Lytechinus pictus: one gene and its partners. The main gene of each other region encodes a partner of the protein of the gene in region 3 in a complex. Links are inferred from orthologs where the notes say so. Each region holds a gene or a part of one and is shown on either strand. Other genes may lie near its edges.

Evidence for each region.
Region 1: jouberin-like (region 3) and tectonic-1-like share a complex: the UniProt entries of both Homo sapiens proteins name them as parts of the tectonic-like complex. The link is inferred for Lytechinus pictus from reciprocal best matches to the Homo sapiens genes AHI1 and TCTN1.
Region 2: jouberin-like (region 3) and transmembrane protein 107-like share a complex: the UniProt entries of both Homo sapiens proteins name them as parts of the tectonic-like complex. The link is inferred for Lytechinus pictus from reciprocal best matches to the Homo sapiens genes AHI1 and TMEM107.

What each region holds. Positions count from the first base shown.
Region 1 is NC_087250.1:19,610,134-19,617,889, forward strand, and holds the start of tectonic-1-like, read right to left. Parts: upstream 3,096-7,756; 5' UTR 3,068-3,095; coding exon 2,845-3,067; intron 2,728-2,844; exon of another isoform or gene 2,723-2,727; intron 1,166-2,722; exon of another isoform or gene 377-1,165; intron 299-376; exon of another isoform or gene 1-298. UniProt on the Homo sapiens protein: Component of the tectonic-like complex, a complex localized at the transition zone of primary cilia and acting as a barrier that prevents diffusion of transmembrane proteins between the cilia and plasma membranes.
Region 2 is NC_087258.1:18,218,812-18,226,298, reverse strand, and holds the start of transmembrane protein 107-like, read right to left. Parts: upstream 3,096-7,487; 5' UTR 2,908-3,095; exon of another isoform or gene 2,760-2,907; intron 1,472-2,759; exon of another isoform or gene 1,469-1,471; 5' UTR 1,444-1,468; coding exon 1,360-1,443; intron 841-1,359; coding exon 773-840; intron 1-772. UniProt on the Homo sapiens protein: Plays a role in cilia formation and embryonic patterning. Requires for normal Sonic hedgehog (Shh) signaling in the neural tube and acts in combination with GLI2 and GLI3 to pattern ventral and intermediate neuronal cell types.
Region 3 is NW_026974140.1:16,630,823-16,638,590, reverse strand, and holds the start of jouberin-like, read right to left. Parts: upstream 3,099-7,768; 5' UTR 3,032-3,098; intron 1,538-3,031; 5' UTR 1,467-1,537; coding exon 1,450-1,466; intron 804-1,449; coding exon 743-803; intron 1-742. UniProt on the Homo sapiens protein: Involved in vesicle trafficking and required for ciliogenesis, formation of primary non-motile cilium, and recruitment of RAB8A to the basal body of primary cilium.

The sequences.
Region 1 (7,756 bases), on a different chromosome or scaffold from region 3:
GAGCTTGCCACACAGGTTCATCAGGAAAGGGTGAAGTCTCCTGTTCAACAACTAACAGCAAGATCGTTTTACGGGTTCATGAGGAGATGGCCAGCTCTCCAAGTCATCCGCCCAAGGTTGTTGGCTATCACTACGGCAATATCCACAACACCGGAGAGGATTGCCTGATACTACCAAGAACTGGACAAGATCCTGATAAAGTATGACCTAAAGGACAAACCTAGGTTCATATACAAAGTTGATGAAACAGGATTCAACCAGGAGCATTCACCATTGAGGTCGCCTTCAATCGTTTCCTGTCGCTCAGCAACCATAACACTCCTTGCCTGAGGATCAGCTGACAGATCGTCATTGCCACCCTATATTGTATTTAAAGGGAAGAACTTGATGGCAGAGCTGACTTGGGAATCATTACCAGGCAGCAGGTTCAAGATGACGGACAGTGGGTGGAGTAATGGTGATGTCTTCAGTCGGTTCCTGAGCAAGCATTTAATCCGATCCTTGCCAGACCGGGAAGCTGAGCAACAAGTTCTCCTACTGTATGATGGACACAAAAGCCACATAACTGTTCCCCTCATAGAAGCCCAGAAGCACAACGTGATACTCTTCCTTCTTCCCCCTCACACAAGTCACATTCTCCAGCCTCTCGACGTCGGCTGCTTCGATCCGATGAAGGCACAATTCAACAGTCAGTGCACAGATTTCCTCTCCAAGCATCCTGGAAGGTCAATCTCTAGATTTGACATGACAAGCCTAATCAGTCACGCATACCTACAGGCGATGAGAGAGGACAACCTCAAGGCAGCATTTAGGAAGTCTGGAATCTGCCCATTTGACCCCGAAGCAGTAGAGATCGAGAGGACGATGAGACCAAGTGCAATCACCAATGCCAACACCCCTCATCCGGTTCATCCCCCATCAACAAGCTCTATGGAGGCATCGTTAGTGACCAAGAAGCCTTCTCCACCTTCAAAGAATAGTCAGAGGGGTAGCCATCATGGAAACAGAATCTTCCTGCAGATCTACCGTTCTTCCACCATCGAGCAGACGACCCAGACTCGCATTTCTGAGGATAGATCAGATGATGACGAACGTTGTTGCCAGTGCCATTTGGACGATCCACCATCAGCCTCTGACATGGGCACTGTCATTAACTGGGCAGAATGTGACTCCTGCAAACACTGGTTGGGCCGGACAAGTTCAAATTGGCAACACATTTTTTTTTTTTTCAGGTTCCCTTGTGAGACGGAACAATGAAATATATGTTGATATGTATGAATATAAATATATGAATAAGTAATTATGTGAATATGCAAATATGTAAATATATGAATATATAAATATGTAAATATATATATATATATGTTAATATGTAAAATATGTGAATATATGAATATGTAAACAATTTTTATTTCTGAAAAAAAAAAGGAGATTTGTAAATGGAAAATGAAAAAAGAAAATGAAAACAAGAAATTCAGTTGAATATACAAATGATAACTTAGTGTCTTTTCTTCATTCTCCTTTGCTGTGTTCATGTGGCCATGAATTAAGTGTGCTGATAAGAGAACATGTTCATTCTCCCTTAATAAATTTCATTCCCCAATAAACAAAACAATAAGAATGGGTGGCGGGGGGTCTAATGATTTTGCCCCGAAAGAAGTTGACAATGATGTGAATTTTTTGTGAGAAATGTTGATAATGATATAATGAATAGATCCTGTAGTCATATTATACAATGGAAATTGTGGTAATGATGATGAAAATGGGATGATAAATGTAGTGACAGTGGTGATGATTGTGGGGGCACGCCTTTTGTGAAAAAATAGCTTTTACTTATAATGAAGGCCTAAATATATAATCTTAAAAGCAAGTAAAAAAAAATAATAACAAAATGATTTGCATGGTGAAATTGAATATGATGGAAATGAGAAGTAAATTTTTGGCATGATTTTGAGAAAAATGTCTTTGAATTTTAAAATCAATCATTTGGCCCTTGCCCGGCGCCTACCTCCTCCCAATCCTAAAATTTTCAGCAACGAGCAATCTATTGATAAGACGGTCATTGATGTGTATACAGAGGATTATTATCCATGATATTGCACAAGCCTATTCTCAACCTGGAAAAATATCAATAAAAAATAATAGTATTGCCTATTTCGAACTTTACTCAAATGGCTGGTATGTGCTGGACAATACGAGGTGGTTATCGAGCGTTTTGACACTTGTTGTCGACCACAAAAGGGCAACAAACTTAGGTCACACATGTGAGCAGAGCAGACTATGAAGTCGGTAGGCGTTACAAATTTCTTGAAATTACATTGATTTTAATCTGAAGTTTGAATTCCAAGCCATGAAATGTGAGATAAGATATTCTTGTTCTTTTGAGGTATTGGACGTTTTTTAAGGGTATATAATCTAATCTAGGTGTCTTGGAATTGTCAAGAAAACCAATATGTGCACTAAATACGGTCACCCCATCATAAGTCATCATGAACCATTAAAAAAATGAAATTTTCTGCATTTTATGTGATAAGTTATGGGGCAGCTGCTTGTTTTTTTTACATCAAAAATAAAAAAAATGAAGTTGTCAACTTGTACTTGTCTTGGACTTGTATTATTGTAAACTTTCTTAATCTTTTTTTCTCAAACCTTCACTTGACTTCACCAATATTTTTTAAATTATTATTAGACTTAAAATTCTGCTTATTTTTACTTTCGTCAGGGTGAACTTCCCCCTTTTTTAACACTAAAGAATTGTCTACATGGCTTCATGCGCACTTTGGTTAACTGAAACACACAAATGTCAATATATGGGACCACGCATATCATCTACGTACTCTTTACCTGTATTCGCGGGCACCTCTGTTGAAGGCAAAGTCGGCGGATTAGTCGTTGTTTGTTGCTGAGTCTGTGTTGTTTGGGCATTTTGGGTGGTTGCTGTTGATACTGGGTTGTTTGTGCTTTGTTGAATACCTGTGGGTGTTGTCTGAGCAGTTGAAGGAAAAATCTGTACCGCAGCGCAGAAGAGAATCAAAACTATTTTGGCGTCTGCTGGCAACCCCGCCATCTTGTCTGTGGTTATGAATAATAATATCAGCGTTGGGGGCGGGGCCGGGGGGTTCATTTACGCCCCTCAACAACAAATAATAATAATAATGATAATAATAAAATAATAAAACACACCACCAGCCGGAAGAATATTGACCTATTGATTCCTTGGCTGCAAACTTATAATGATAATAAAAAATAAAAAAATATCAATTCTTAATTTGTGCATGTGTATCTTTACGATTTTATTTTCTTCTTTTTGAAAAATTACAATTACTCCCACTAGCGGCCCGTAGGGGGGGGGGGGGCTTGAGAGGCAAAATTAATTTTTTTAATGTAGAAATGCCGTTAAAACATAAGTTTTTAAAGTGAATTTTTTTTTTTTTTTTTTTTATGCTTTTCAAACTTTTTCGTGGGCAAAATGTAACTTTGTCCTTAATTTTTGGTTAAATACCTTTTTTTTTTGCTTGTCAATTTTTTTCCTCTGGAAAATGTGCCCCCCCCCCTTTGGAAAATCCTGGATCCACCCCTGATTCGGCCAACTGTATATTACTGGTGTATTTGAAAATTCGGCGCCTCCATTCTTTGAATGAGCTCAATTCTTTTTTTTTTCTCGTTTTTTGTTGTTGTGCGCAATGCGGGGCATCATGAAAATCAGTAAGGTATGCATGGGGTCTTCGACGGCAGTTAATCATACCAGGGGCGTCGATCCCTTTTTCAGATTGGGGGGGGGGGCAAAATCATGAATCAACTTTCCAAAGGCGCTCGATCACACAAAACAAAAAAACTCACACACACACATGCCTATATATATATATATATATATATATATGTATGTGTGTGTGTGTGAGTGTGTATACACACTCACACACAAATATTATGTATATATATATGTGTGTGTGTGTGTGTGTATATATATAATGACTCATGACTGAGATAGAGACACATTTCTCACCAACAAATTAATGCGAGCGCGAAGCGCGAGTAGAAATTTCTTGCTTGGTACCAATGATTATGATGGGTATCTTAAAAAACAATAGATGCGAGCGCGAAGCGCGAGCTGAAAATTTTGATATTTTGATCTGAATTTTTTTTACTTTAATGGACGTTTTAAATAAAGAACAAGACATATATCCAAAAAAAGATTATTGCAAATCGAAGCGGGAGTTATTTTGAGGTTTAGAACTAAAAACGGGACGTTCTATTCATCTATTTAATAATGAAAAGTATGGGTTTTTGCTACAGAAATGATGCGAGCGCAAAGCGCGAGCTGAAATTTTTTTATATTCCAATCGGAAAAGCGGACAATTTGAGCATGATTTTTAAATAAAGAAATAGTTGTGTATCTCAATCTTGCTTGCTGATATCTGTGTAACATTACAATCTTATTTTATGTTTTGCACATGCGGAATTATTGGGGGGCAAAACGATATGTTTGCCCCCCAAATATTTTTATTGGTGGGGCGATCGCCCCCCTGCCCCCCAGGATCGACGCCTCTGAATCATACCATAATGTGTAATTGCCGTGGGGGCTCATTTAGGCCTGTTTTGAAATAAAGTATAGGGTCGATCGGGCACCAAATAAACAAGTCCCACTTTATGTTTAATAAACCAACAATTTTCAGAGGCAGTATCGTATACCCTGCGTGGCAAACTATTTGTTTTGAATGTGAGCTATAAAGTATGGCTTCTTTTTTTTATTAAAAGATATAATTTTGTGACAGATTTTGACGAAATAATATGAAAAAAATATATAAATCCGAAACTTCATGTATTGGGTCTCATTTTCTTTCCCTTTCTCTATCTTATTTTTGTATGGGGGAGGGGGTCATGGAACTATAACCCCCATGTGTACTCAGGCCTATAGGCCTACACACCTTTGCCAGTGGTAAAGCAGAATAACTTACTTTATTACAAGAGTATACTGGGGCCCGTTGCAGAAAGAGTTGCAATCGATCGCAACTCTAAAAATCATGCGTAACTTGATTTTCAACCAATCAACAGCGCGCATTTGGGACTTGCGATTGATTTTTTGACTTGCGTTTAAACGCAACTCTTTCTGCAACGGGCCCCTGGTCATGATAATCATGATAATCATTCTACTATTATGCACGAAGACAAATACAATTTTAAAGGGACTGCAATCTCCCGGTGCATCTAAATGATCTACGAGCCCAGTTACCAACTCCTGCCTATGTAGGCCTATATACATAATATTAATTTCAATGTTTTACACTGTTTTACTTAAGCCAGTTCGTAGTTAATCCTTTCTGCGCATGATCAAAAGATTCTACGCATGATCAGAGGAAGGTTATTTGTACTAAAGTGACATGGTGGTTTAAAATCTAATGAGATAAGCACCAACTTTGATGTCTTGATTATTCATATATTCTTTTGAATTGTGGTTTTCATTTACATCCACAAAAAACAACAACGCGTCCACGAACGACTGGTTTTCACCGGGGGTTTTCATAGTTTGCCAAGTACATTGTGCAACATGCTATGATATGCATTCAAAGTAGGAATGCAACCGTACAAATACCTTCATAAAGTGTTCATTGGTGTGCTATTCTAGTCACCTGGTCTATTCAATTTCTTCATCCTGCTATGTAAGGCAAGCTTACGTAATATTTTGCTTTGAAATCTGCCTATCATCATGAAAGAAATGAAAGGTCATTTGACCGAAAATTGTCCATGAGGTAACTACGAACTGGTCGATTAATAGGCCTACTATGTTACTTGATTTTTTGTTGTTGGATATGGAAATAAATGAAATGAAATATATATAACATGCCCGCAGGAGTTTAACTTTGAAAATTAGTTCAGGGTCGATCAATTTTTGGCAAGTAAGAATGAAACTCTTGGAGATTGGAAATAAATTACTGGAACGTACAGATGGGGGGGGGGGGGGGGGGGGGGGGGGGGTTAGGGCCCGTGGCGCCCCATTAAGTTCTATCACCAAGAAAATTAGTATAAAAAAAGAACAGGAAATGGAAATGACCGAATTATGATAATATTTTTTTAATATATCGTCAAAATTAATACAACATCATAGTTTTTCCTAGAAAGATCGTTCGTTTTGCTAACTTGCGAGATCTTTTTTTCAAATATTGGCCCCATCCACTCTTTTTGCCCCTCTATTTTTCAAATATATTTCTTTGTTCCTTACGCTACTGAACTGAATAAAGAAAAATTAAAGGGATGGTCCGGGCTGAAAATATTTATATCTGAATAAAAAAAGTAAAATTCAAAAAGTAAAATGCACAAAATTTGATCAAAATCGGATAACAAAATAACAAAGTTATTGAATTTAAAAATTTATCAATATGTTGTGAAAAACATTTATATGCACATCGTCATGAATATTCCAAATTGGCAAGTTTCCCTTGCTATGTACAATAAAACAAAAATACTACAGCATAAATGAAAGTTTCAGTTTTTGGGGCTCTAATATATAGGCCCTATATGCTTGATGGCAACTGAATAAAATCATATATTTTTTTTATCCCTTTCTTCATTTGAAGGGAGAACAATGAATGTTTTCTACTCGAAATAGTGCCAAAATCAAGCCATTTTGGGCAGAAACCCTTGATATGTACGTTTTTACTGATCACTGTTTTTTTGTGATAAAGGAATGCTACCGTCGCTCAGGTTGCTCTCTCGTATAAAAATATAATGAGGAACAGTTTAGAAGGGGGAGGCTGTACGCATAAAGTTTAGAGGGAGAAGTTCACAAATGTAAACCGTTTAATAATGGTATTTTTTGCATTTGTGTACACGTTAACTGAAAAAATTGTGCGTGTGTGTGGGGGTGTGGAAGATGAAAAACACCTAAGCACCGCCACTGCATATCCTGATATGGTAAAGCAATCTAATAAGGATCACAAAATAATCCACAAATAATATTCAGTTGGTGCAAGTGCCGCGGAACCGGTGGGGGGGGGGGGGGGCTGGGTGAGCTTCAGCCCCCCCCCCCCTTCCCAAAACCATGTACAAAACCTTAAAATGACCATCTGATCGATTGTGATTTTTTTTTGCATCGAAAGCATATCCCCCTTCCCGCTTTCAAAACCATTCCACGGCCCTGTGGTGTATTCATTCAACAACAAAAAATTTTCCTCATTAGCGGGTCTCGCTGCATTTTCATATTTGAATCCCGAAGCGTCAATAAAATCAAAGAGGAATAAAAAAAAAGTATAGCATATAATTTATATGCAGATCTACAGATGGTTATTTGTTTATATTTCCAAATAAGTCGTATAAAGATAAACAAAAAAGGTCATATTATGTGGTTTCCGATTTTTTTTTTGTGATTTGGGAGAATGCCATTTCTGAAACTATGATGCACAAGCATAATTTTTCTTTATACCTTGAATTGGTTATAAAATAACATTTCTAACCCTCAAAATATCATTGTGCAATTTTCCCTCTCTTGATGTGGTCTCTATATAGTATTACAGTAATCTATATCACATTTCGGGAGATGGTTACATTTAGAGGCGTATTTTGATACCTTGAAATATTTGCTTGACGAGCAAAAGGTACATAACATTATATTTTTCTCAATTGAATTATAAGTGACACGACCCACCCCACCGTTGTACTTTTCCTTCCCTTCATTCCTCTCTTTTATGCATCATTTCCCCATTTTCATAAAAAAAGTTAAATGCATAAGTCATCACAAAAATAGTAAGTTTTCTTTGCTTGC
Region 2 (7,487 bases), on a different chromosome or scaffold from region 3:
GGGGAAGAGGAGGATGAAAAATAGAAACAGGGGAAGAGGAGGAGGAAGAATATGAAGAGGGGAGGAAGGGGAGGAAGGGGAGGAGGAGGAAGAATATGAACAGGAAAGGAGGAAGGGGAGGAGGAGGAGGAAGAGGAGGAACAGGGGGAGGAGGAGGAGAAAGAAGAGGATGAAGAATAAGAACAGGGGGGAGGAGGAGGAGGAGGTGGAGGAGGAAGAAGAGGAGGAGGAGAAAGAAGAGGATGAAGAATAGGAACAGGGGGAGGAAGAAGAGGAGGAAGAATAGGAACAGGGGGAGGAGGAGGAGGGAGAATGAAGAATAGGAACAGGGGGAGGAGGAGGAAGAAGAAGAGGAGGAAGAATATGAACAGGGGAGGAGGAGGAAGAGGAGGAGGAGGAAGAAGAGGAAGAGAAGGATGAGGAAGGAGAGGGGAGGGGAGAGAAAAGGAGTAGAAGGATGTGACAGACACTTACTCACTCTTTCTACTCACAATAAGTAAAAGGAACTGCTCATTTATGTTCACAACATAGAAATTTCATCTCTGCTTAATGTATCAACATAAAAATATCTATTTTCATCTGATGACTACCAATCTGAAATAAATGAAGCTGTTTTCATCACCTGCCATAATATATTCATAATTCATTCATCTGTTTTATTTACCAAGACGAGCATTATCAGAGGATAAAAGACTGTGTCGGGGGAGGGGGGGGGGAGGCTGCAAAATAAGATCAACTAATAAGATATACACAGGGAAATGAAAATACTCACGCCACATCTACTGAATTGTACTCTGTATCTGTGTAGGTTTCAGGTAGGCAGGCTCGTACATTAGCATCCTACAAAAAAAATTGAAAAAGGAAAATAATATAATTGTTTAATATTGATAACATTCATATCTTGTGACATTTTTAGCAAAGTTTTTTTTACGAAAATGGATTGTCTTGCTTTAAATAATAGGAAACTCTTCAGAGGGGTTTTCACAAAGAGGTATATGTAAGTATGATTAAGTCATTTTTTCCACATAAATGAACAAAGTAATGCACATGTATAACCTGACCAATGAGGTGATGTGTATATTTCAAACTCTATTTCCTGTACATTTCCTTAAAAATTTCAATCCAATATGGGAAATCTATCAATTCATTTTTGCAATATCGTCATGTACTTTCACAAAGTTAAAGTCGTTGTAGTCCTCCTCCACCACAACCACCACACCACTTCTAGTTCTTTACTTCTGCTACATTTTACCAATAACACTGTAATCAGTAACAACAAAATGTTAACAATTAATAAGCGAACAATTACTCAGTTGTTCTTAATCTCGTTTCAACTGGAAAAGAATTTTTGTTACCTACCCGTGACCATATGAGAGTGACAGTGATAACCAGATGAGCAATTAGGCACAGGAAACGGGCTGGGATCAGATTTGTTAAAGCCATTAGGATTTAGGACTATCCACCAATTCTACTGGATCATTAAGAACATAAAAGAAGAAATCATACATTACATTTTAAAACATCAAAAATGTTTTTATATACTTTATATACGAATATTCACTGCTAGAGTAAATTCTGAGCTGATTTTATTCTTTGCATGGTATGAAAATGACAATGAGAGCCTGCAGAAAGAAAATCCAAAAAGACAACTTTAGCTTAAAGTAAAAGATTTAATTTCATTATCTATTCATTTATTTCCATCAACTCCCAATAAAATTATCCTAATGTTAGAATTAGAAAGTAAAAGATCTAACTTAGCCCTAATAGTATTTTCAAAGATAGAATCAACAGCAAGAAAAACAATATCTTCAGATACCAGAGAACTACACGTCTACACCAGTTACACAGCAAAATTAAAAGGAATATAAATAATTATGGAATAAGAATCCTACCAAGTACCAAGACGACGTCACAATGTCATGAAAAAATTTCCAAACGTTCAATTTTTTTGCCTTTTTTCAGCTCAAATCAAATACGTGATTTTAAGCTGTGCCTGGTGAAATTTGGCTCAAAATCAAATTAAATTGTAAAAAATTACATTAAATAGTTTTGCCAAGGCCAAGCCATGGCTAAAAGTAAGAAATTGCAAAACGCCCTGGCCTTGGCAATGCCAGCCAGGGCCAAATTCAAATTAACCCAGGGAAGTCCCGCCCGCTGTGCGGGCGGGAGCCCAGGGGCTTACCGTGTATTTGACCATACTCACGGGACTAGCGTGATTTATGGTCTAAATATTTCTCCAAATGAATTGTGAAAACAGAAATTATGCACTTACCACGATTATATGGATGAAGGTCTAACGAGTGGCAGTTTCCTGACATCGCGGCACAGACTGGAACTTCAAAAAAAACGAAAAGTTCTCTCCTTCTACCCCAGTCTCGATCGGCCATTTTGTTACGATTCATAACAAAAATGGCCGATCGAGACGGGGGTAGAAGGAGAGAACTTTTCGTTTTTTTTAAGTTCCAGTCTGTGCCTCGATGTCAGGAAACTGCCACTCGTTAGACTTTCATCCATATAAATTAATCGTGGTAAGTGCATAATTTCTGTTTTCACAATTCATTTGGAGAAATATTATTATTCAGACCATAAATCACGCTAGTCCCGTGAGTATGGTCAAATACACAGTAAGCCCCTGGGCTCCGGCCCGCTGTGCGGGCCGGAGCTCCCTGGGTTAAATTCAAATAAGACTTTATAATAAGAGGACCATCACCCAGAGGCTCGTCCACGCACCGCCGGTTTGGCCGGTGACAGCAGCGGAGCTTCCCCGTTCCGAATCGTCTTGACCCTGCCCTGGCTAAGCTGGGAAGCTGAGCCTCTGAGTCTGGGGCCCTGTCTCTATCCCGAGTGATATGTTTCTGTGATGACTGTATTAAGGCTCAAATCTAAAAAAAAATCTAAAATACTTACCTAGGGCGTTTGCAAGTGGATTTAGACCCTTTTATTCAGCTGCTTGAATCCAAATCTGGATCGTGAAACCATGGACGCTCACACTTTTCGACAGGAGCAGGGATTTGTTTCACAAAAGATTTGTAAGTGTAAGTTCGCAACCTTATGTTGGTTGCATACGCGAGTTTCTATCGATAATATCAGAAGCTAGATTTAGGACGAGTTTGAGAAACCGTTCCCGGAAGTTAATGATCGGACAAAGTTCACGGAGCTTCGGTTTCCCATTGATGATGTTGGAACTTGTGTGTAAGTGCCACGTTTGATAAATTTAAATCGAAAATACCATGGTAAGTTGTTATCTTTTATTTAATAATTTTCCATTATTTAAGTGGATAATTGTGTGTTTGTAAAACTATTCACGAATGGAGGGTGTGGACACGGAGTATAATTGAGTAAAAAGATGTTGATTTGTCTTTTTTTTCGTCGCGGCGGAGATGGCCGATGCTTATGGAGTTTTTCTAGCCTCATCCTTACCATGGCATGGGCCGTTCCGCTGGGGGAGACGACGGGCACTGTACCCATTGAAGCAGACGCACGTAGCCGTAGCTACATTGTAGGGCCAGGTAGCCGCTTGTGCATTTCAATCATTTGTGAAGGCCTGAGCTGAGGCAGAAGAAGAGGTCATTGACATTATAATTGGACTGAAGATTAAACATGAAATTTGTTAATATTCTATGAAAGTTTTGGCCGGTGTGAAATTAAAGTTTAAACTGCATTATTAGAAATAGAAATTACTTGGAATGATTAGAATTAATTTTAGATCTAGAAAATCATTTGTCATTTAGTGCCAAACTAAGGCAAAGTTCATGAAGTTTCATTGAAATTTGATATGCCCTAACTCCTAAGTAATTCTTGCAAAGTGTGCCGGGCAAGAATTATTGTTGGCTTGAGCAAGAACAGAATAAATATTATTTTACAAAAAAACGCAGCCTGTAGTACACTGCATACTGTAGAGTAGTGTAACTATTTATTGTAAAGTTAGAGTTAGACCTAACGAAAGCCAAAAAGGTGTTCAGTTTCAACATTGGCAATTGGTAACGTTGCCCGTTGGCAATTTTCATGAATTCACAATTTTCTTTTATGCCCAAGATTCGACATGTTAAGCTCTTCTGCAATTTTTTTTGTTCTAAAATTTCTTTTCACAAAATGATATTTGCACCAATGTTTGTTAAATATATTTGTCTATCTTTAATTGCAAATTTGCAATGTTCATTTTCAATTTCCATCTGAATAATACATAAAATCTTGAAATGTATCGCCATGTTTCGATTCGACATCCCCTGCCCTTCGTACGACATAGCGCATCGCGCGCTCAAAAATGCAAGGCGAGAGCCGCTGAATTGCGCCGCATCGCATGCGATGTGCAACCCAGAAGTTGCAGCGGTCATTCGCTCACGCATTGCGATCGGGGCCCCTGTCGAATGAAGGCGACCTGCAAGCATGCCTTGACTTCAAAGAATTCTGTGCAAATTCAATGCCGTTGAATTTTTCTTTCTTTTTCTTTTTTGATTGGAAATTTTGAAGATACGATCCTAAATTTGCGAGAAAGTTATCGTACTCGGAGCAGAACCAAGGATTTCTTTATTTTTGACACATTTTTCGGCGACCCCGCTTCTTAAATCTGAGCTAAGCCGCCAAATGCTCTGGATATATGGTGAATATTCCGCATTTCAAGGGAAATTTTTGACATTTTAAAGGGGATTTTTTTTTGTTAAAATCAGGACTTTTTGGTGGCAAGTGATAGTGCCTATGTTTATAAAAATGTGTTTGGTGTGTGTTTTTGTGACTGTGCTGGCTTGTGAAATAGGTTTGCCATGTCGAATCTCGGCACTTGTCGAATTTTGGGCGTGTTACTCTATTTAATTTCACTCTTACTTTTTGAGTAATCTTGTGACAAAGTAACAAAACAGTTTAGTTCTGTCCTTTGAACTGCAGATGATTAGTGTGAGATAGATATCATAGACTTAGATCCTTATTTCTTTCAAGAGTGGTTACTTTCATTGTTGTCAAGTAACATGATCCCGAGTTATATAAAGCTCTGTGATGGTTTTGAAATTTTTATCAAGCAGGGGGGTGTTTCACAAAGTTTTAAGTATGACTTAGAGTCGCACTTAAATACCAAGTTGCGTACGGTATGAAAGACTTGACCGCATTGGCCATATCGTGTCATGAGGACGCGCACTACTGCGTATTTATTATCAATAAGATCGCATATCATGTACGTGTCGGCATTTAAGTGCGACTCAAGTCATACTTAAATCTTTGTGAAACGCCCCCCAGGGGGCCGTTTCATAAAGCTGATCATCAGTCAAGAGCGACTTTAAGAACGACTGGTGATCCTTTCTTGTGGTAAATGATATTGACCATTAAATGTTCATTGGTGATTATTTAGAGTGTAAGAAAGTTTCACCAGTCGTTCTTAAAGTCACTCTTAGAGGACTATTCCACCTGAACAAAAAGTTGATTTGAATAAAAAGAGAAAAAAATACAACAAGCATAACACTGAAAATTTCATCAAAATCGGATGTAAAATAAGAAAGTTATGACATTTTAAAAATTTGCTTATTTTCACAAAACAGTCATATGTACATCCTGATCGGTATGCAAATGAGGAGACTGATGACGTCATCCACTCACTATTTCTTTTGTAGTTTATTGTATGAAATATTCTAACTTTCTTCTCATTGTCAAGTGAAACAACAATTAATTCCTCCCTGAACATGTGGAGTTATCATTATTTAATACTATATGATTTAGTCAAGTTGGTCCTTATTGTCAAATCTATAAATAATGAAATATTGTATAATTCAAACAATAAGAAACAAAAGAAATAGTGAGTGAGGGACATCATCGACAGTCCCATTTGAGTTGTGCATATCACTGTTTTGTGAAAAGTAAGCAAAACTTTAAAATGTCATAACTTTCTTATTTGACATCCGATTTTGATGAAATTTTCAGCATTATGCTAGTTTGATTTTTCTCAATTTATTCAAATCAACATTTTTGTGGGGTGGACTTGACCTTTAACTTACGAACAGCTTTATGAACTCCCACCTTGTGTGTTATTCTTACTAATCTCTGATGAAAATTTCAAAAAGACTCTTTCTCTGCTCAGGGCCCGGTACAGTATGTAACAAAAAGCTTTGATAGTGATTGATCAAGGGGCTGATTTTACGAGTAATCAATGGAATAAATCATAAAATTAGATATTAGCCCCATGATCAGTCGCTAAGCTTTCTAACCCATGGATTGCTGTGTTAAATTACACTTGATCTTGTGTACCCTCAGATAATGTTTGAGATGCAATGTTTTTTGCTCGTTATTGTTCCAGGCTGCACAAAAGATTTCTAAGTTTTGACTAGATGCTGCAAAGTGCAAATGGCTTTGGTCATTTTGTGATATTAGAAATTCATTTTCTTGATTGCAAACAGGGATAGACAGACCACTTATTTTCAAATGAGAATTTTTATCAGAACTTCTTATTTTGACCCATGCCTTATCATTTTAGTACACTGTATCCTACAGGAATTTGCATTTGTAAACATTTTATAATTATGTTCATTCCTTTTTTTTATTCACATGACAGCCTCTTAGATTGGATATAAAGGTAAGAAATCTATTTCCACCTTTTTCTGTTGTTGTTTTTTGCAGTAACACAATGCATGTTTTGAAAATATATCTTTATCATTGAAAGCCAAAATCAGTGTATACTATGCACCTGTAATAAATTACTAATTTTAGTGAAACATGTGAATATTTTATGTGATAAAAATATCATGTATTTTTTCAAGCAAGGGTTTAAGATTTTTGAGGATTTTTTTAAATTAAAAGAATATTAATATTTTATGAAATTTGGACTTATCAATCATGAGTAATGCTATTCTTGTACAATTTGGGTTTCTTATTTTGGGGGAATTTTTTTTTCCCCATGCATGTTAAATGTGAGTGTGACATAGTCAAAGAAAATTGATCACATACTTCAGTAAACTTTAAGAAAATTACATGAAGTCTTTGACACCCCTCTGCAAACCAATTACATAACTGCATGTTTTGAAACAATATCTCAAAAAAGATCTCTGTTTCTACTTCGTAAAGTCCTTTATCTACTCCTAATCTGTTTGTTCGTTCGTTCCTGACTTTGTTACAATGTGATAAGTACGACATGTATATAAAAGCAGTATATGATAATTATATCTGTATATATTTCCCCTTCAGCGAAAGCTTTCAGCACGGTCTGACCGTGTAAAGTGCGTTGACCTTCATCCATCTGAGCCATGGATGCTTGTCAGTTTGTACAATGGTAACGTACATGTATGGAACCATGAATCACAGGTGAGAAAAAAAAATATTGTACTTAAAGGTAAATTGTGTCATTGGTTTATTTCAAAACTTTCTTTTAAATTTCACTCTTTGCTTTCCACGATATTCATAAACAAGTTCTGAGTCCATACAATGTATTGCATTGGCTAGAAAGAACTGTTTTTATTCTCAAAAAAATATATAAAGATGAGAAGATTTGCCGAGTGAGCTTTTTTTTATTT
Region 3 (7,768 bases):
AGTTTACAGGATGAAATGACACATAATATTCACAAGGCAGCCATGGATTATCTATATATTATCTGGAAAATATATAGCATAATAATCCTAAATCTAAATAATAATGATAATAACAACAACACTAATAATAATAACACTTTTATCAGAATAGTGTATCTACAAACTTTATTGATAATAATGATATATTATTATCATCCCTGTCATTTGATACTGACTAACCCTAACATGATGTACATGTATGTACTTTTTCCACTCACTAATTAGCATTCTAACAAGAGTTTTAAACTCAATTGCTAGGTATTCTACATTGGATATCCCCTCTTACTAGGTAACCACTTAGCACCTGGGAAGAGAGTGTGGATTGATGCCTTGCCAAAGATCAGTATAAAGCCGCAGTGAAATTCGAACACACACTTCTCTGATGTTAAAACAAGAGTCAGAACCACTACAACATGATCCTCCATATCAGTTACTGGTACTCTAAAATCTATCAGAAAAACAACTTTCTAAAATGTATAATCTGAAGCTTATTGAAAATCAGTTGTGGATGTAAAATTTGTAATATTTGTATTTCTGATTTTCAACAAATGAAGTGTGATATTTTTTTTTTAATTGAATATAAAAAGTTAATTTTTTGTTATGTATTATATATCATGACATGAATGCATATAAAAAAAAATTACCAAGTGCAATGTTAATCCTGCCAAAGGTAACAATACAAATATTTCAAATATGAACTTACCATAGCATCTGCTGTTTGTGATCTAGCCTTCTTCTTCTTCTTTGAAGTTTTTCCAGAACCACTAAGGAAATTAAAAAATAGGATAATATTCTCATAAAAAGTTTATTTATGATGTACTTATAATCTCAACACTATTTGATTGTCTAATGTAACTATAACTAAATAAGAATTGAATTTAACACAAACTACTTTTGAGAAGTTGAAATTTTGAACTCAGAAATGTATATAAGCCAGAGTTCTGTCAATGGCATAAATACCATACATACTAATGTATTCTAGACATAAAGTAAGACAATAAGGATTAAGAACTTGACAGAGCTATCTGTTTGATATGAGCAAAAAAACATACAAGAATGTTTCTTAACTTTCAATATTCAAAATTGTTTTCAATTAGAAAATTGCAGTATCAATTTATATCATTGGCAGCTCAACTAAATAGAGTACCGTAATAAAATAATAGCAATGATAATGACAATCATAATAATGATAATAAAAATGATATTATCATTTTCATTGATAACAATAATGTAATCAATATATCACAGTAAAAATTATAATGCGCAATTCAATAATATATTCTGTTAACCTGCAGAGTGTAATAAATATTATTTCAATTTTTATAATAAGAGAGGTTTAGCTTCAAAAGAAACACTGAGAAATAGCCACATTATCATCTGTATTTTATTTTGATAATAAAATAGAAATACCTAGCATCCTGGTCCATTGCTGACTTCAGAAGCTCATCAAATTTAGCCCGTGTCTGGTTATGAATTTCATGATGTTCTGAGTGAGGAGCTTAAACAAACAAACGTGAAAAATTAGTCCAGGTATCATAACATATTGCTACATTTTTAGAACCTGAACAGAACCTACTGCAAATGAAACTGCTGTTCTGTATCATTATACATGTATGTCGGCTTGAGCAATCAATCAAAAATTGATTGAACATTTTGAATCAACTGCTATCTAATTACTTTTTTAGTCTGTCCAATCATAAGAGCCATGTGGAACAGGCATAACAACTAGGTAGATATAAGACCCTAATAATTATACAGTATGGCGACAAAGAAGAAATGTGGGAACATCAAGAACATAAATAACAACACATGTACATTATACATCTCGCTGAATCCTAGATTTAATCATCCTTAAAGGAGAATGAAACCTTTGGAACAAGATAGCTTGTGTTAAAACAGAAAAATCAAAGAAACGGATCAACAAAAGTTTGAGAAAAATCAGACAAATAATGAGAAAGTTATGAGCATTTGAATATTGCGATCACTAATGCTATGGAGATCCAACAAAGATGTGTGATGTCACTTGTGAACAACTCTCCCCATTACTTTAGTATATATTTCACTTAAACTGCCTCTTTTATCACATCTATCAGTGGATCATATGTTCTTTCTATAGGAGGGCATGTAATACAGATTTTTTAAAGAATACTTCATGGATAAAGAGTTTCTATCATCATAAGAAAAAGCAAAAAGAGACATTTTGGGGTATTTTATAGTCCATCAAAGGGAAAGTTGTTCACATGTGACATCACACATCCTTGTCGCATTGCCAATCGAGGATCTCCATAGCATTAGTGATTGCAATATTCAAATGCTCATAACTTTCTCATTATTTGTCTGATTTTTCTCAAACTTTTGTTGTTCTTATTCTTTGATTTTTCTGTTTCGACACAAGCCTACTTGTTCCAAAGGTTTCATTCCCCTTTAAGTTTTTAACACCTCCTAATTGGAAATTGTACTGTTTGCACTTGGCAGAACATTTAAACAAAAATGGTGATTGGTTACAATTATTACAATGATTGTGAAGAAGATGAGGATAATGATTATGATAACTATAATGATTATAATCAAATCATGGTGATGATGATTATAGTGATGATTATGATTATGGTGATGATTATGGTGATGATGATTATGAAGATTATGATTATGGTGTTGATGATGATGATGATGATGATGATGGTGAAGACAATTCTTATGAACATGATGATGGTGATGATTACAATTATGGTGATGATTATGATTATGGTGATGATCATAATTATGATCATGATGATTGTAATGATGAGGAGGGGAGGAGGAAGATAAGGAAGATGATGATAGTGAGAAAGGAGTCATCTTCTCTTCTTCTCTACAAGTACAGTGTCTCAAATGAGGGGTCTAAGTGTCTCAAATGAGTTATGTACTGTACTCATTGTCCTGTATATTGCGATATCCAGGATGACAATGACAATGGTCCCTGCTTGATTTGAAGTGCAAGTCTGATACTTACACAGCGCTCTGTCCTCATCTTGGCTGTTGCCATCATGTGGCAGTTTGCGTCCCTTTTTCTTGACCTTTCCTGTGAACAAAGCAAATTACAAATGTAGCATTTAAACCGGCAAGACTTCCATATGTCCCCTCCACTAAAAAGGTTTATCAGGAATTATCTAACATGTATCTAAGAGATTTAAGAAGGAAAAGTTGGATACATACCAAAATATGGCTTTATTCTGTCAAAATTTCGAGTGTGTGTAATTCAAAATGGCATTGGTTTAGTCTATTTAGTCAGAAAAATAAATACCCAATACTCTTGGAGAGAAGACTAGTCGTAATATCGGTTGATAACCCATGGCTTTCAACAATTCATACTAGCTCAGTGAGTAAGGCGACATACGGTAGTGGAGATTCAACTGAAATCACCAACACACTCTAAACATGTACAGTACACATTCACATTCAAAATCTTGAATAAAAAGTGAAATTTTCTTCCCTAAATCACCATATCTCGCATCAAAAATATCACCATCGGTATTTCTTAACATCGTAATTAAGAAACAAAGGGTCTAAAAAAGTGGATTTTTCACGGTTTTCCCGATGATCGTGGATTTTGAAAACATGTCCACGGTAAAGACTAGCACTTTCGCGAGCCGATGTCGGCCGCCATTTTTTTCCAGAAGTCAATGCTGAGATCGAAAAATAGTAAAAAACATGAAAAATACGACAACAACACCTCAAAATATAGCGCCCCAAGAGAGGCCGTTGCGTGTACGCTCGCTATTTTCACATGCGTTTGCAATGGAACTGCACACTCAGCAGCGTTCGCTCGCAGTTTAAAGGTGAATTGCAGCTGCCTCACGGTGCCTCACGGAGCTTGCGGGAGCGCCATAGGAATCGTACATCGGACCGCGCACCGGAGACAGGGTGGCCGCACACAGAAGAATGCTATCGCAGTCAGAAGTGGTGGTCAATCTTGACCACCGCGATTGCTATCGGCCAATTTTCACGATAAAAAAAATAAGTACCATCAGTCCTTTTTATATGATATGTATGGATTAAACTAGTTTGTGCAAAATAGGTACAGGATGGGAAAAACCCTTAAGCGGGCGCACATCAGGGACTGTCTTTTTAAATTAGTGGAGGGGTCATAAGGAAGTCTTTTCTTTAAACCTCTGCAACATTCTGCTTGACAAGCATGATAAAGGAAATTGACGATAGGATCCCCCTTCAAAATTCTCCAAAAGTATAGAGGCAATGATCATCAAAAAAGAAAAAAAAAAGGAAAAGCCAAAAAAAAGGAAAAGAAAAAAAAAAGGAAAAAAGAAAGAAAGCTTAAAAACAGACAAAACAAAAATAAATAGGTCCAGTAGAATAAACAATGAAAAGAAGATGACAGTAGATCTAAGTAAGTTAAAGTTACTTAAGAAACCATCAAAAAAAGGAAAAGGAAAAGAATCTGAAGTTCTTTCAACAAAAAAGCTCAAATAAGTCAAAAAAGCAGTGGCAAAAATAGTCATTCTTGACTGGTTGCCAGCCAGCCAAACCAAACAAAGAAGAAGCATTGGCTTTACCCTCTTATGATTATGAACAGCCTCTAACGTTAGTTTAAGTTAGATCTAGAATTCTAAGTTAGATCTAAGTTAGTCTTTTTTTTCTAGTTCGGACTCGGAGTTGTCTTTATGGTAGGGGGCCCTAAAGCTATGCGGGTCCCACTCATGGGATCAATGCATCTCGCGTGCGAAGGATTCATATGCACATGGTGCACGCGAATTTTTCACACCCTTTTTACTAAAATAACTATGCCATTCCTTTTAAAATAATGTTTCTAATTGTGCTATGACACTTACCGAACCATATGGATCGTTTCTTGACTTCTCTTTGGTGTGTTTTTAAGAAAAAAAAAGCATTTTCTCGTGATCTTCACGTAGATACCGCAGGGTCATCGTGGTTGTAAACTTTTGCTTAAAGAGGGCGCGCGATATTATTCACAAGATGTTTGTTTACGGTTCTGCAGCTTGTACTGCTAGCTGCATTTTAGACGCTCGGCATTATTTTCCTCTTTCTGTTTTTTTTTTGCTGTCAAGCGGTATTTTCTATTGTAGCGCCATCAGCGATGATGAAATGTAAAGAGTCGCCTTGAAATGAAGAAAAATTATGTCACATTAATTCGTTAGTTTGTTTCCTATTTTTTTGCACTTTTTTCTTCTTCCTCATCTATGATCAAAGGTGAATACCTTTTTTTGATATCTGTTCTAAAAGCTGGACATTTTAAATATTTTGTTCAAGTAAATAAATCAACAGGATAGTAATCAAAATGCGATAGAGCTGCCCGAGCTGAAAATTCTGATACAAGGACTTGAAAATAAAACATTCTGAGCACTTTTTATAACCATGATGAGGAGACCTATATATATATATATATATCAGGGTTGTAATAAAAAACATTTTTTATCAAAAAAAACAAATAAAACGTTTTTTATTGTTTTAAAACATTTTATTTCCAACGAATGATGCAATTTTCTGTAAATCAATTAAACTATACACTATTACAGTATGTTTTAAATAAGAGATGACCACAATTTTGTTAATGAATTTCCAACAGAAAAGTTCATATTTCCCCCCAAATCACTAAATCATGGAAATTGAATGCCTACAACAACAAAAAACACTTTATAAGTAAATTGACATTTCATTCCTAATACATGTACATATACATGTAGTTCCAAGGTATATTGAGTCTTGTCAATGGGGGGGGGGGGGGGGCAAGAAGAATTTGCACAATGGAAGAAATTGATATACATGGGGTTTCAAAGCTTAATTTCATTACCGGTAAATCAATATGCTTTATTTCATTTGAATCAATTATACCAATTTTAGTGCATGAAATTCAAATTCAGTTCAAATCTATAAATAAAAACCTTGAACTACTTTTTTTTTTTTAATTCAGGAATGCTGATCAAATGTATATTAAAAAAAAATCAGTATAGAATGTTTTTTTTAGCCCTAATAAGATTGGAGGGGGGCTGATTCAGCACCCCTCCAGTCTGATTCAGCCCCCTTCGTCACTCAGACTTTTCTTTTTCAAGTCTCACGCAACTTTTGAGACCAAAATTGCGACCTATGCGGTTCCGAAATTATGCAACATTCTGTAAGTGCATGCAGACCCAAAATTGCTCAAAAACGTGAATTCGTGTACAAATCCAATGCAAATAGTGTTTTTAACCAAAATTCATAAATGTCTCATTATTTTTCCTTTACTGACTAAAATCAATTAATTTCACCTTGTTTATGGTCAAAATATAGTCCCTGACTATTTCCATTGAAAAAACAATAAAATACATAAAAAATAAATGTGATTTTGAAATTTTTTAAAGAACATTTGATCAGATTCCTACAAAGAATGAACCAAAAATGAGCATTTCAGGGGCATTATTTATAGAGCAAACTTGATTTTACGCATAAATTAGCAATGAGACTTATGCAAAATTTGATTTATAGTTTTTTAGATTATGCCATGGGTAACGCCGTGCCAATTTTTGTTGTGATCCCGTGATCGACGGCTCAGATCATAAGGGTGGGGGGGGGGCACCCTCAGTCTTCTTAGGAAACGAAATAGCCCAGTCTATTTAGGTTACCGGTAATGTTTTCTAAAACTTTTTTATATTTCTTATGTACAGATTTTTAAACCTTTTTTTTATTACTTATAGAAATTTTTGGCAATAATTTTCCAATCATTAACAATAAAGTAAAAATAATGATACAGATACAAATTTTGGCAAGAACTCACAATTTTGGCAAGAACTCACATTGGGTTTATACATGAAATCACATTTTTGAGCAATTCGGGATCTGATTATGCACTTGTGGTGTATATCATAACTGCATACCCAAGCATGCATCCCCAAAATAGTCTTGAACGATATGCCGTGGCCCTGTCATGTTTATGGATTTATCATATACATTTTTAGGGGGACATTATAAAGGTCCCCTTGAATTGTTAGGGTTAAGGTTTGCTAGCTGATTATCTTATACTGTTTAAAGAAAGTACTTTTCTTCATCTTTATGAAGCACAAAGTTTTATACCTGCTTTTGTGTGTACCTCAAGAGTATGATGTCAGGTTTACAGTCTATTTGTAAAATATTATTGTGCTTGTGCAACACTTCCATTTCATTCAAGTACTTTTATTACATGTACATGTATTTGAGCTCATGTTTCCTTCCCTGTCCAAAAAGTGAGCACAACACTCAGATATGTTTGTTAAAATGAGAATATTCTTAATATGGATTGATGTGCACAATTGAACAGGGAGAAGAGGAACATAACAAAGCAATGGAGAAAGAAAGAATAAAGGGAGAAAGAGAAAGAAGAGAAAAGGAGTGGCATTGAAAAAGAGTTTTATTTAGTTAGAAGAAAATAATACACCACTTAAGAAATAACAGTATAAAAAAAAAAACATTCATCTAAAAACACATCCATGCAAATTTATAACACACAAGTCTATGCGGTGTTTTAAAACAGGTTTTTTTTTGTAAAAAAAACTGGTGTTTTAAAACGCGTTTTAAAACATGTTTTAAAACACACCGTTTAAAACGCGCCAACCCTGATATATATATATATAGTGTGAAAGAAATGGATGAAGAGAACAATGGTAGGCGTAGCTTAAATCAAGGTTCCCCAGAGCTATCTACCCTTTTTGGAAAAATTGGTGATGCCGAAAAAATGTCTCTGCCGGGAATCGAACCCGGGCCC